3 linked regions of the Saccharomyces cerevisiae S288C genome follow. The protein of the gene in region 2 interacts with the protein of the main gene of each other region in a biochemical or structural test. Each region holds a gene or a part of one and is shown on either strand. Other genes may lie near its edges.

Region 1 (4,200 bases), on a different chromosome or scaffold from region 2:
ATATTGATGAATGCGATGTTGCTTCTTACAATATGTATCCAAGGGTCTATGAAGATTTCCAAAAGATCAGAGAAACATACGGTGATTTATCAGTTCTACCAACCAAAAATTTCCTAGCACCAGCAGAACCTGATGAAGAAATCGAAGTCACCATCGAACAAGGTAAGACTTTGATTATCAAATTGCAAGCTGTTGGTGACTTAAATAAGAAAACTGGGCAAAGAGAAGTGTATTTTGAATTGAACGGTGAATTAAGAAAGATCAGAGTTGCAGACAAGTCACAAAACATACAATCTGTTGCTAAACCAAAGGCTGATGTCCACGATACTCACCAAATCGGTGCACCAATGGCTGGTGTTATCATAGAAGTTAAAGTACATAAAGGGTCTTTGGTGAAAAAGGGCGAATCGATTGCTGTTTTGAGTGCCATGAAAATGGAAATGGTTGTCTCTTCACCAGCAGATGGTCAAGTTAAAGACGTTTTCATTAAGGATGGTGAAAGTGTTGACGCATCAGATTTGTTGGTTGTCCTAGAAGAAGAAACCCTACCCCCATCCCAAAAAAAGTAATTTTTACTCGTTAATTATATTTTATGACATCTGAAAATACTAGCTGTACTATATATGGCGTATATTTTATCTAGTTATGTTCCCATGTATATTTAAATGCCAAATAGAAAGTAATCAAACACTTTCGATGAAATACGTGCTAACTGTGTTTCTTCCTTAATGCTTTCACTTACCATGTCTCCATTCTCCATTTTCTTCTTGAGTGAAAATGTGAGTTTATAACGCTCAAGTACGTTAACTACTCTATTTAATATCGTACGGGATTTTTGATCGACTGTAGGTTTTCTTCTTAGACCATTCCAGCGCCCGGGTATTTAACCAAACGCTACGGATGCACAATAACTTACAATAAGCTCATCATTAGTCTTGAATTGCATCCAAAGTTCACCAATATTTTGCTGCGGACTTGGCGCAAACGAATTATTTATATAACAATAAACATGGTCCATTTTCAGCCGTCTCTTAAGAAATAAAATAACCATTGCAAAAGACTGTGACATTGATATTTTACAAACAGATGGTTTTAACTGCCCAATAGAACCAATGGGCTGAAATTTTATCTGTATCTTTTGTATGTTTTTTTCGTCTTTATGGCTTTTTTGTTTGCTTGTTTGTGCATTCGTTTTGATTGTCTCTTCCTGTTCATAAGTGCCACTAGAGGAATCTTCAACTTGCTGGTCGACAGAAATGTCACTCGCCAAACCAAGCTGAGACAATCTCCTGCTAAAAAGTTCCAATCTATTTTGAACGGTATGAGGAGATGATCTTAATTCTTGATTATTTCTGGATCTTTCCATTGCCGTTCCATTATTTGTGGATATGATGGAGCTTTCGTCACTTTCTGTTTCATTTTCGCTCTCTAGGATCCTACTCATACTGTCATTGGTTCACTCTACTGTAGAATATACAGTTAGGGATGTACGTTTATTTCTTCAGCTCAAGTAGCTTTCTGTCAAACACTAAGCGGGCATCCTTCATAAGTACGATTCTTTAAATTTGACAATGTAAAGGAAAAAAATAAAGACTAATTGCCGGTGAACATTATTAACAAATAAACACTGAAAAAGAAAATCACCCTAGACATTCAATACGATACTCAGACACTAATGGAACCAATTGATGACATACTTTTTGAGGTTACTGATGCGTTCAAAACTCAGAAGGAGGATCTTCTTGAGTTGGTAACATTGATTGATATATATGGCGAGCAAGTTAACCAAGAGGGGAGCTATGAAGAAAAGACGAGATTCATTGAAACTTTGAATACATTGTTAGAGGATAATCCGAGTACTACTGGTGAAATCGGTTGGGATCTGCCTAAGGGATTATTGAAGTTCTTGTCAAAGGATAATGTCGATGTAAATGGAAGACTAGGTACGAATATGATTGTCCAAGGTGTAATGAAGTGTTTCTATGCCATCTCAATCCAAGGCGAGCCCAAAAAATGTTTAATTACTGGGTTGGAGTTGCTTTCATCCCTTTGTTCAAAAGATTTTTCCAAGAGTGATCAACAGAATAAGGAAGACTTTGTTGATAAAAAGGCCAATACGTTACCTCCTGAAGGAGTAATCGAAAATTCCTCTAATCGAAAAGATTTTCCATCCTACGGTGAAAGCAAGAGTTCAAATGAATTTTTCTTGAAGTTGAAATCCTACATTTTATTTGAATTCATAGGGGCGAGTCTGAAAAGGATTTCTACTCTGTTTCCTTCGAAATATCTGGGAGCTGCTGTGTCAACAATTGAGAAATTTGTGTATAGTCATGCGGACACTTTTGAAGATGCCCTTTTCCTTCTTCGTAGGGTGTACACATTCTGCAGGAACTATATTCCCCCTGATCCACCAAAAGATATACAATTGAACGAAGATTTTACTCGAGAGATGTTTGATAAAGTTGTGGAGGAAGAAAGTGAATTACAGGTTAGACTATTGCGTAGGCTTTGTACTTTTGGTATTTCGACACCCATAAAAACTGTCACCACCAATGCCGACGTGAAATACTATTGTGCACTAAATCAACAGAAGTTTGAATTATCTGCATATTACACCGAATATCTTGAGCTATTTTGCAGGTATTACCAAATGGCGTTCTCGCTTGATGTTGATATAGAGGGAGAATTTCAGAATGTGATAAAAGAATGTAGGATTATTTATAAGTCTGTACCCCAGGAGATTTCCGCTGTTAATGATGAAGCAAAGTTGGTTTTGGAAAGAATGGTATATAAATTGGCTTATACATTCGAAGTACAAAAGGCCGCTAAAGAAAAAAATGTTGGTTTGGACTATAATGGTGTAATATTATTTTCTGGTATCCACTATTTGGAAACCAATCAACATTTAGTAAAGGAAATGAATATAACGGATGCCATTTATCTCTACTTGAGATTTACAACTCCATCATTATATTCTAAAGTTTACTATAATGTAGCAGTTGAATCAGTTAGTCGCTACTGGCTATGGTATGCTATTACAACCGAGCCCTTGGAGGATGTAAAAAAAGAATTGAAGAATCTTTCAGTGTTTGTTACAAAAACATTATTGCATGTTCTACTTCAAAAGAACTGTATTCAGGTCAATCAGCAGTTAAGAATGATAACTTTCACTCTTCTCACCAGATTACTATGTTTAATACCTGAAAAAGTTGCATTTGAGTTTATCTTAGATGTGCTTAAGACATCTCCCCTTCCATTGGCTAAGACGTCCGTATTATGTGTTTTTAAAGACCTTTCAAGGCGACGCATCTCCACCAAGGATAACGATTCTGAGACGGATTTGATTGTCGAAAAATTATCCAAACTGAAGGTCAATGATAGTAACAAAGCTCAGCAAAGTAACATCAGACATTATATCCAACTAGATTCTTCCAAAATGAAAGCTGTTCATGACTGTTGTCTGCAGACTATCCAAGATTCATTTACGGCAGATGCCAAGAAGAGTGATATATTATTACTGCTAACTTACTTGAATATTTTCATTGTGCTAAAAAAAACATGGGATGAAGATCTACTGAAGATTGTTTGTTCGAAGATTGATTCTAATTTGAAGTCAGTCGAACCTGATAAACTTCCGAAGTATAAGGAAATTGTGGATAAAAACGAATCTCTAAATGACTATTTTACTGGTATAAAATGAAGTTCTTATCTATTTCATTTCCACCAAGATATTGAACATGCCATACTCGTTTCTGGTTTTATAGCCAAGTTTATAGATTCTCTAAGGTGAAATTATCTATTTTTTCTTTCACCATATTATCGGACATAGATACATGGATAGAAAAGCATTCGCTCGGAAAAATCTTCATATAAACTGACTATATACTTTCAGATATAGGCACACTTTATTTCATTTTTTATGTCGTTCAGGGATTTTGGAAAATCTCTGACACAATGCTTATTTATTTTTAACACCACCTCTTTTCATGGTACCATTTGCACGCTCCAAACTTGCATAGTGACCTTTTTCGATTAATGGACCAAAGTAAACAAAAAAACCGTCCTTGGTGGCAGCACGCTGTTCCTCCCACAATAACTCCGAATCATCAATGAACGGATCTTCAACGTCATATTTACCAATCAAATTTTTACCTTTCATAGGATGCGACTTCTTCTTCGGAGAGATGGTGGTAGTTACAG
Region 2 (2,850 bases):
GGCCAGAGTCATGGCGAAGTGGTTCAGAGCGGCTTTTGAAGAACCGTAAGCTCCCCAACTGCTGAAGTACATGTTACAGGCGTCCGAACTGACGAATACCACGTTACCGTTGGTCTTCTTCAATTCAGGTAACGCAATGCCAACCAAGGAAACAATGCTGAAGAAGTTGATGTCATACAGCTTCTTCCAAGCGTTGACATCAATCTCGTTGACATTTTGCACGGGCTCTAGGACACCAGCGTTGGCAACCAAGGAGTCGATCTTGCCGTGGCCCTTAACAGCAGCGTTAACCAACTGCTTCAACACGGAATCCTCGGTAATATCACCGACAACGTAAAAAAACCTGTCGCCATACTTCTCTTTCAACTTCTTCAAGGGTGCCTCAGACCTGGCTACACCGTAAACAACCGTGTCCTTGTCCAAACTGAAAAGAACATCCACGATGGACTTACCGATACCTCTGGAAACACCTGTAACTAAAATAACTTTACCCATGTTTTTTTAACCTGTTACACGCTGTAGTTAGACCCTTTTTTTTAGGTACAATATTCTTCCATTGCACTTGATCTTTTTCGTTTACGTATATATATGCAAAAGTTAATGTTCATACTGTCTTCTCTTCATTTCTTTGAAAACACCGCGGAATTCCTTCGGTGATACATTCAATCCGGTTCTTGGCACAGAAATGGCCGCACAAAACTGTCGCTCATCGCAAACCCAATAAAAGTTTAGTAGCTAAAAACTATAACTATACCCTTTTACATAATATAGTTTAGTACTAGCCCTGCACCGGCCCCAGTCGCTCATCGTTGTAGCGGAGATATTGACCGTTCAAAGAGTCGGGAATACCTTTCAGGACGAGTTGCGCTAGTACCGCCGCAGGCACCTTTGGGTCCAGCAGTGACGAAGTCTTGTACAATTGAGTAAACCTCTCGAGAGCCTTGGGTGTCATGCCCTGAGGACCCAATGTTTCCCTAATATCTTTCTGCATCTGCGTGTCAACGACGCCCGGTGCAATACACACGGCACGCACTTTATCACTGGGCTCTTCACTGGCAATGTCCATGGCAAAGTGGTTTAATGCGGCTTTCGAGCAGCCGTACGCCGACCATCCGTTATATGGTTTCACACTGGCTCCAGAGCTGACGAAGACAATGTTGCCTACAAATGGCGAGCTCTTCAAGAGGGGTAAACACAGTGCCACCAAAGAGACAATGCTGAAAAAGTTCACATCGAACAGCCGTTCCCACTGCTTGATGTCGTGTTCGGAGTTGGACTGGGAGATGGACTTCACCGGTTCTAGCATCCCCGCATTTGCGACAATACCGTCCAGTTTTCCATGCTTTTGCCGGATTTCCTCCACCAACGCTTCCATTCGAGACCTGTCCGTGATGTCGAGGACACGATAGACAAATTTGTCTGCACCGTATTCTCTTTGCAAAGACTGCAGACCAGCTTCCGTTCTTGCTACGCCGTAGACGATGCATTCATCGTCCTCTTCGATAACAGTTTTCACCAATTGCAGGCCAATCCCACGGGAGGCACCTGTAATCAAAATAACCTTGCCCATATCCCTTCTTTGACAGATTATAAGTTGTTTCTCTTGTTGCTGTTCGCGACAGCCCTTATTTCCTGTATTCCTTCTTCTTTTTCTGCATTATCGTTTTTAGCCACTTTACGAAAAAGGTCAAAAAGTGAAAAAAAGAGGGAAAAAACCATGAGGAACAGTATGCTCCCTTAATATCGGAAAAGCAATAGTAATAAAAACAGCATCAGAGCTTTCCACGTCTCTCTCTTCCAAGCTGTCATCTCGTAAAGTATTCAAGTTTATCATGTCAGAATTCTATAAGCTAGCACCTGTTGACAAGAAAGGCCAACCATTCCCCTTCGACCAATTAAAGGGAAAAGTGGTGCTTATCGTTAATGTTGCCTCCAAATGTGGATTCACTCCTCAATACAAAGAACTAGAGGCCTTGTACAAACGTTATAAGGACGAAGGATTTACCATCATCGGGTTCCCATGCAACCAGTTTGGCCACCAAGAACCTGGCTCTGATGAAGAAATTGCCCAGTTCTGCCAACTGAACTATGGCGTGACTTTCCCCATTATGAAAAAAATTGACGTTAATGGTGGCAATGAGGACCCTGTTTACAAGTTTTTGAAGAGCCAAAAATCCGGTATGTTGGGCTTGAGAGGTATCAAATGGAATTTTGAAAAATTCTTAGTCGATAAAAAGGGTAAAGTGTACGAAAGATACTCTTCACTAACCAAACCTTCTTCGTTGTCCGAAACCATCGAAGAACTTTTGAAAGAGGTGGAATAGGCAGGTCTTCTTCTTTTGAAGTTAGGTAAAGCTTAGTTTTCTTTTATATTTCCTGATAATACATACTCGCTAGTCAAACCTGTCAATTATTATGTGTCGCAACAGACTATATACGTATACATACATATGTATTGAAGTGTGTGAACGAATTACGCGGCTGCTAGTGCCGTACGAACGCAACAAAACGGTTTAGAAATTGCTACCTAAAGCACGCGCCTTTTCCTTAGAAGCAGCATACGACTCCTCTGAGGTTATGGTCTTTAACCATTTGGAAATGGCAGGATAATCCTCTGGTGCGGCAAACTTTCTTTCAAACGCCATCTGCAAAGGGAAAGACATCAAGATATCGGCACCGCTCAACTTCCCATCAACCAGGTAGCCGTTATTTTTGGAAATTTCACCCTCCACAAAGTCGAACTGGTTCTTAACTTCACCACTAGAGTATGCCTGACTGATCTTGTCTGCCACTTTTCTTGCCAAGTACGAAATAGGGAAGGGCATACCAGAATCCTTCACCTTTGAAAGA
Region 3 (3,184 bases), on a different chromosome or scaffold from region 2:
CTTTCTTAGTTCCTTTTCAATTGTTAAGAAACGATATCACAACTGTTACGACAGAGAGAGACCCAAGCTAGAGATCACAAGCTAAAAAAGAACCAAGTTTACATATATATATATATATATATATATATATATATATATATCCATATTCATATTTCTCGAGAAAGAGCCTCTATTTCTCATTGGTAAGTAACTTCATAAGAGACTAAGTTGTAAAACTGTGGCTTTGTTATACGGTGATTTCCTTTGGAGGTTGCTAAGGTTTATGGTGTTGAGTGCAGTGTGCACGACAGGGACCGCTAGAATGCGGTGAGTTACAAAATTACACGTGACTTTTCTGGTCACGTGACCTTTTTTTCTGTCAGCAATCCGTAGGATGCGCGTTGGCGCTACAAGTGTGTCATATCTGTACTATATTTGTACACTTATATGTAGTTGTGACAAAAGTCTCTGTTAGTACTAAATTAAACGATGTTATATCTGTGGACCCCCTCACCTTATACCACTACGTACATATCGTTGGAAAATCTAGATCAGAGGGTGGTAAATGAAGTGTAATAGTATTCATTTTTCTTATAAATCATCCCTTCCGTGATTTATACAAAAGAAGAGGAGAATATGCTGAATACTTGGTATATTACTCTACATTATACTCTTATCTTGACGGGTATTCTGAGCATCTTACTCAGTTTCAAGATCTTTTAATGTCCAAAAACATTTGAGCCGATCTAAATACTTCTGTGTTTTCATTAATTTATAAATTGTACTCTTTTAAGACATGGAAAGTACCAACATCGGTTGAAACAGTTTTTCATTTACTTATGGTTTATTGGTTTTTCCAGTGAATGATTATTTGTCGTTACCCTTTCGTAAAAGTTCAAACACGTTTTTAAGTATTGTTTAGTTGCTCTTTCGACATATATGATTATCCCTGCGCGGCTAAAGTTAAGGATGCAAAAAACATAAGACAACTGAAGTTAATTTACGTCAATTAAGTTTTCCAGGGTAATGATGTTTTGGGCTTCCACTAATTCAATAAGTATGTCATGAAATACGTTGTGAAGAGCATCCAGAAATAATGAAAAGAAACAACGAAACTGGGTCGGCCTGTTGTTTCTTTTCTTTACCACGTGATCTGCGGCATTTACAGGAAGTCGCGCGTTTTGCGCAGTTGTTGCAACGCAGCTACGGCTAACAAAGCCTAGTGGAACTCGACTGATGTGTTAGGGCCTAAAACTGGTGGTGACAGCTGAAGTGAACTATTCAATCCAATCATGTCATGGCTGTCACAAAGACCTTGCGGACCGCACGTACGAACACATACGTATGCTAATATGTGTTTTGATAGTACCCAGTGATCGCAGACCTGCAATTTTTTTGTAGGTTTGGAAGAATATATAAAGGTTGCACTCATTCAAGATAGTTTTTTTCTTGTGTGTCTATTCATTTTATTATTGTTTGTTTAAATGTTAAAAAAACCAAGAACTTAGTTTCAAATTAAATTCATCACACAAACAAACAAAACAAAATGGTTAGAGTTGCTATTAACGGTTTCGGTAGAATCGGTAGATTGGTTATGAGAATTGCTTTGCAAAGAAAGAACGTCGAAGTTGTTGCTTTGAACGATCCTTTCATCTCTAACGACTACTCCGCTTACATGTTCAAGTACGACTCTACTCACGGTAGATACGCTGGTGAAGTTTCCCACGATGACAAGCACATCATCGTTGATGGTCACAAGATCGCCACTTTCCAAGAAAGAGACCCAGCTAACTTGCCATGGGCTTCTCTAAACATTGACATCGCCATTGACTCCACTGGTGTTTTCAAGGAATTGGACACTGCTCAAAAGCACATTGACGCTGGTGCCAAGAAGGTTGTCATCACTGCTCCATCTTCCACCGCCCCAATGTTCGTCATGGGTGTTAACGAAGAAAAATACACTTCTGACTTGAAGATTGTTTCCAACGCTTCTTGTACCACCAACTGTTTGGCTCCATTGGCCAAGGTTATCAACGATGCTTTCGGTATTGAAGAAGGTTTGATGACCACTGTTCACTCCATGACCGCCACCCAAAAGACTGTTGACGGTCCATCCCACAAGGACTGGAGAGGTGGTAGAACCGCTTCCGGTAACATCATCCCATCCTCTACCGGTGCTGCTAAGGCTGTCGGTAAGGTCTTGCCAGAATTGCAAGGTAAGTTGACCGGTATGGCTTTCAGAGTCCCAACCGTCGATGTTTCCGTTGTTGACTTGACTGTCAAGTTGAACAAGGAAACCACCTACGATGAAATCAAGAAGGTTGTCAAGGCTGCCGCTGAAGGTAAGTTGAAGGGTGTCTTGGGTTACACTGAAGACGCTGTTGTCTCCTCTGACTTCTTGGGTGACTCTAACTCTTCCATCTTCGATGCTGCCGCTGGTATCCAATTGTCTCCAAAGTTCGTCAAGTTGGTTTCCTGGTACGACAACGAATACGGTTACTCTACCAGAGTTGTCGACTTGGTTGAACACGTTGCCAAGGCTTAAATTTAACTCCTTAAGTTACTTTAATGATTTAGTTTTTATTATTAATAATTCATGCTCATGACATCTCATATACACGTTTATAAAACTTAAATAGATTGAAAATGTATTAAAGATTCCTCAGGGATTCGATTTTTTTGGAAGTTTTTGTTTTTTTTTCCTTGAGATGCTGTAGTATTTGGGAACAATTATACAATCGAAAGATATATGCTTACATTCGACCGTTTTAGCCGTGATCATTATCCTATAGTAACATAACCTGAAGCATAACTGACACTACTATCATCAATACTTGTCACATGAGAACTCTGTGAATAATTAGGCCACTGAAATTTGATGCCTGAAGGACCGGCATCACGGATTTTCGATAAAGCACTTAGTATCACACTAATTGGCTTTTCGCCGCATATGGTGTTTCCGGTGATTTCCAAGTATTGTTTCCAAGCATCGTACCTTTCACCATTTGGAGTATCACTTAGCGTTTTCATCGCATATCTGTCCATTATTTCAATGGATTGCCAAATGGGAACTTGATGATGTGAAAGTTTACTCCTAGCAGTTAACATTTCCACTTCTGTTTCCTCTTGAATGGCATCATTCAACTCTTCCTTGCTTCCGACGTACCCAGTATATTGGAATCTGCGGCCCCAATGACAGAAATCA

The links.
Region 1: the proteins of HYR1 (region 2) and YBP1 form a complex in vitro, tested with the Saccharomyces cerevisiae proteins (one study listed by BioGRID).
Region 3: the proteins of HYR1 (region 2) and TDH2 form a complex in vitro, tested with the Saccharomyces cerevisiae proteins (one study listed by BioGRID).

The regions. Positions count from the first base shown.
Region 1 is NC_001134.8:655,076-659,275, reverse strand, and holds YBP1 (Ybp1p), read left to right. Parts: upstream 1-1,675; coding exon 1,676-3,700; downstream 3,701-4,200. Other genes in the region: PYC2 (pyruvate carboxylase 2), read left to right, coding at 1-569; ATG12 (Atg12p), read right to left, coding at 884-1,444; HPC2 (Hpc2p), read right to left, coding at 3,959-4,200. UniProt on the Saccharomyces cerevisiae protein: Involved in oxidative stress response and redox homeostasis. Required for hydrogen peroxide-induced oxidation and nuclear localization (activation) of YAP1. Functions probably in concert with HYP1/GPX3, the actual YAP1 modifying enzyme.
Region 2 is NC_001141.2:421,296-424,145, forward strand, and holds HYR1 (peroxiredoxin HYR1), read left to right. Parts: upstream 1-1,832; coding exon 1,833-2,324; downstream 2,325-2,850. Other genes in the region: NRE1 (sepiapterin reductase family protein), read right to left, coding at 1-495; sepiapterin reductase family protein IRC24, read right to left, coding at 779-1,570; GTT1 (bifunctional glutathione transferase/peroxidase), read right to left, coding at 2,514-2,850. UniProt on the Saccharomyces cerevisiae protein: Involved in oxidative stress response and redox homeostasis. Functions as a sensor and transducer of hydroperoxide stress.
Region 3 is NC_001142.9:453,023-456,206, reverse strand, and holds TDH2 (glyceraldehyde-3-phosphate dehydrogenase (phosphorylating) TDH2), read left to right. Parts: upstream 1-1,525; coding exon 1,526-2,524; downstream 2,525-3,184. Other genes in the region: MHO1 (Mho1p), read right to left, coding at 2,761-3,184. UniProt on the Saccharomyces cerevisiae protein: Glyceraldehyde-3-phosphate dehydrogenase (GAPDH) involved in glycolysis and gluconeogenesis. Catalyzes the reaction of glyceraldehyde-3-phosphate to 1,3 bis-phosphoglycerate.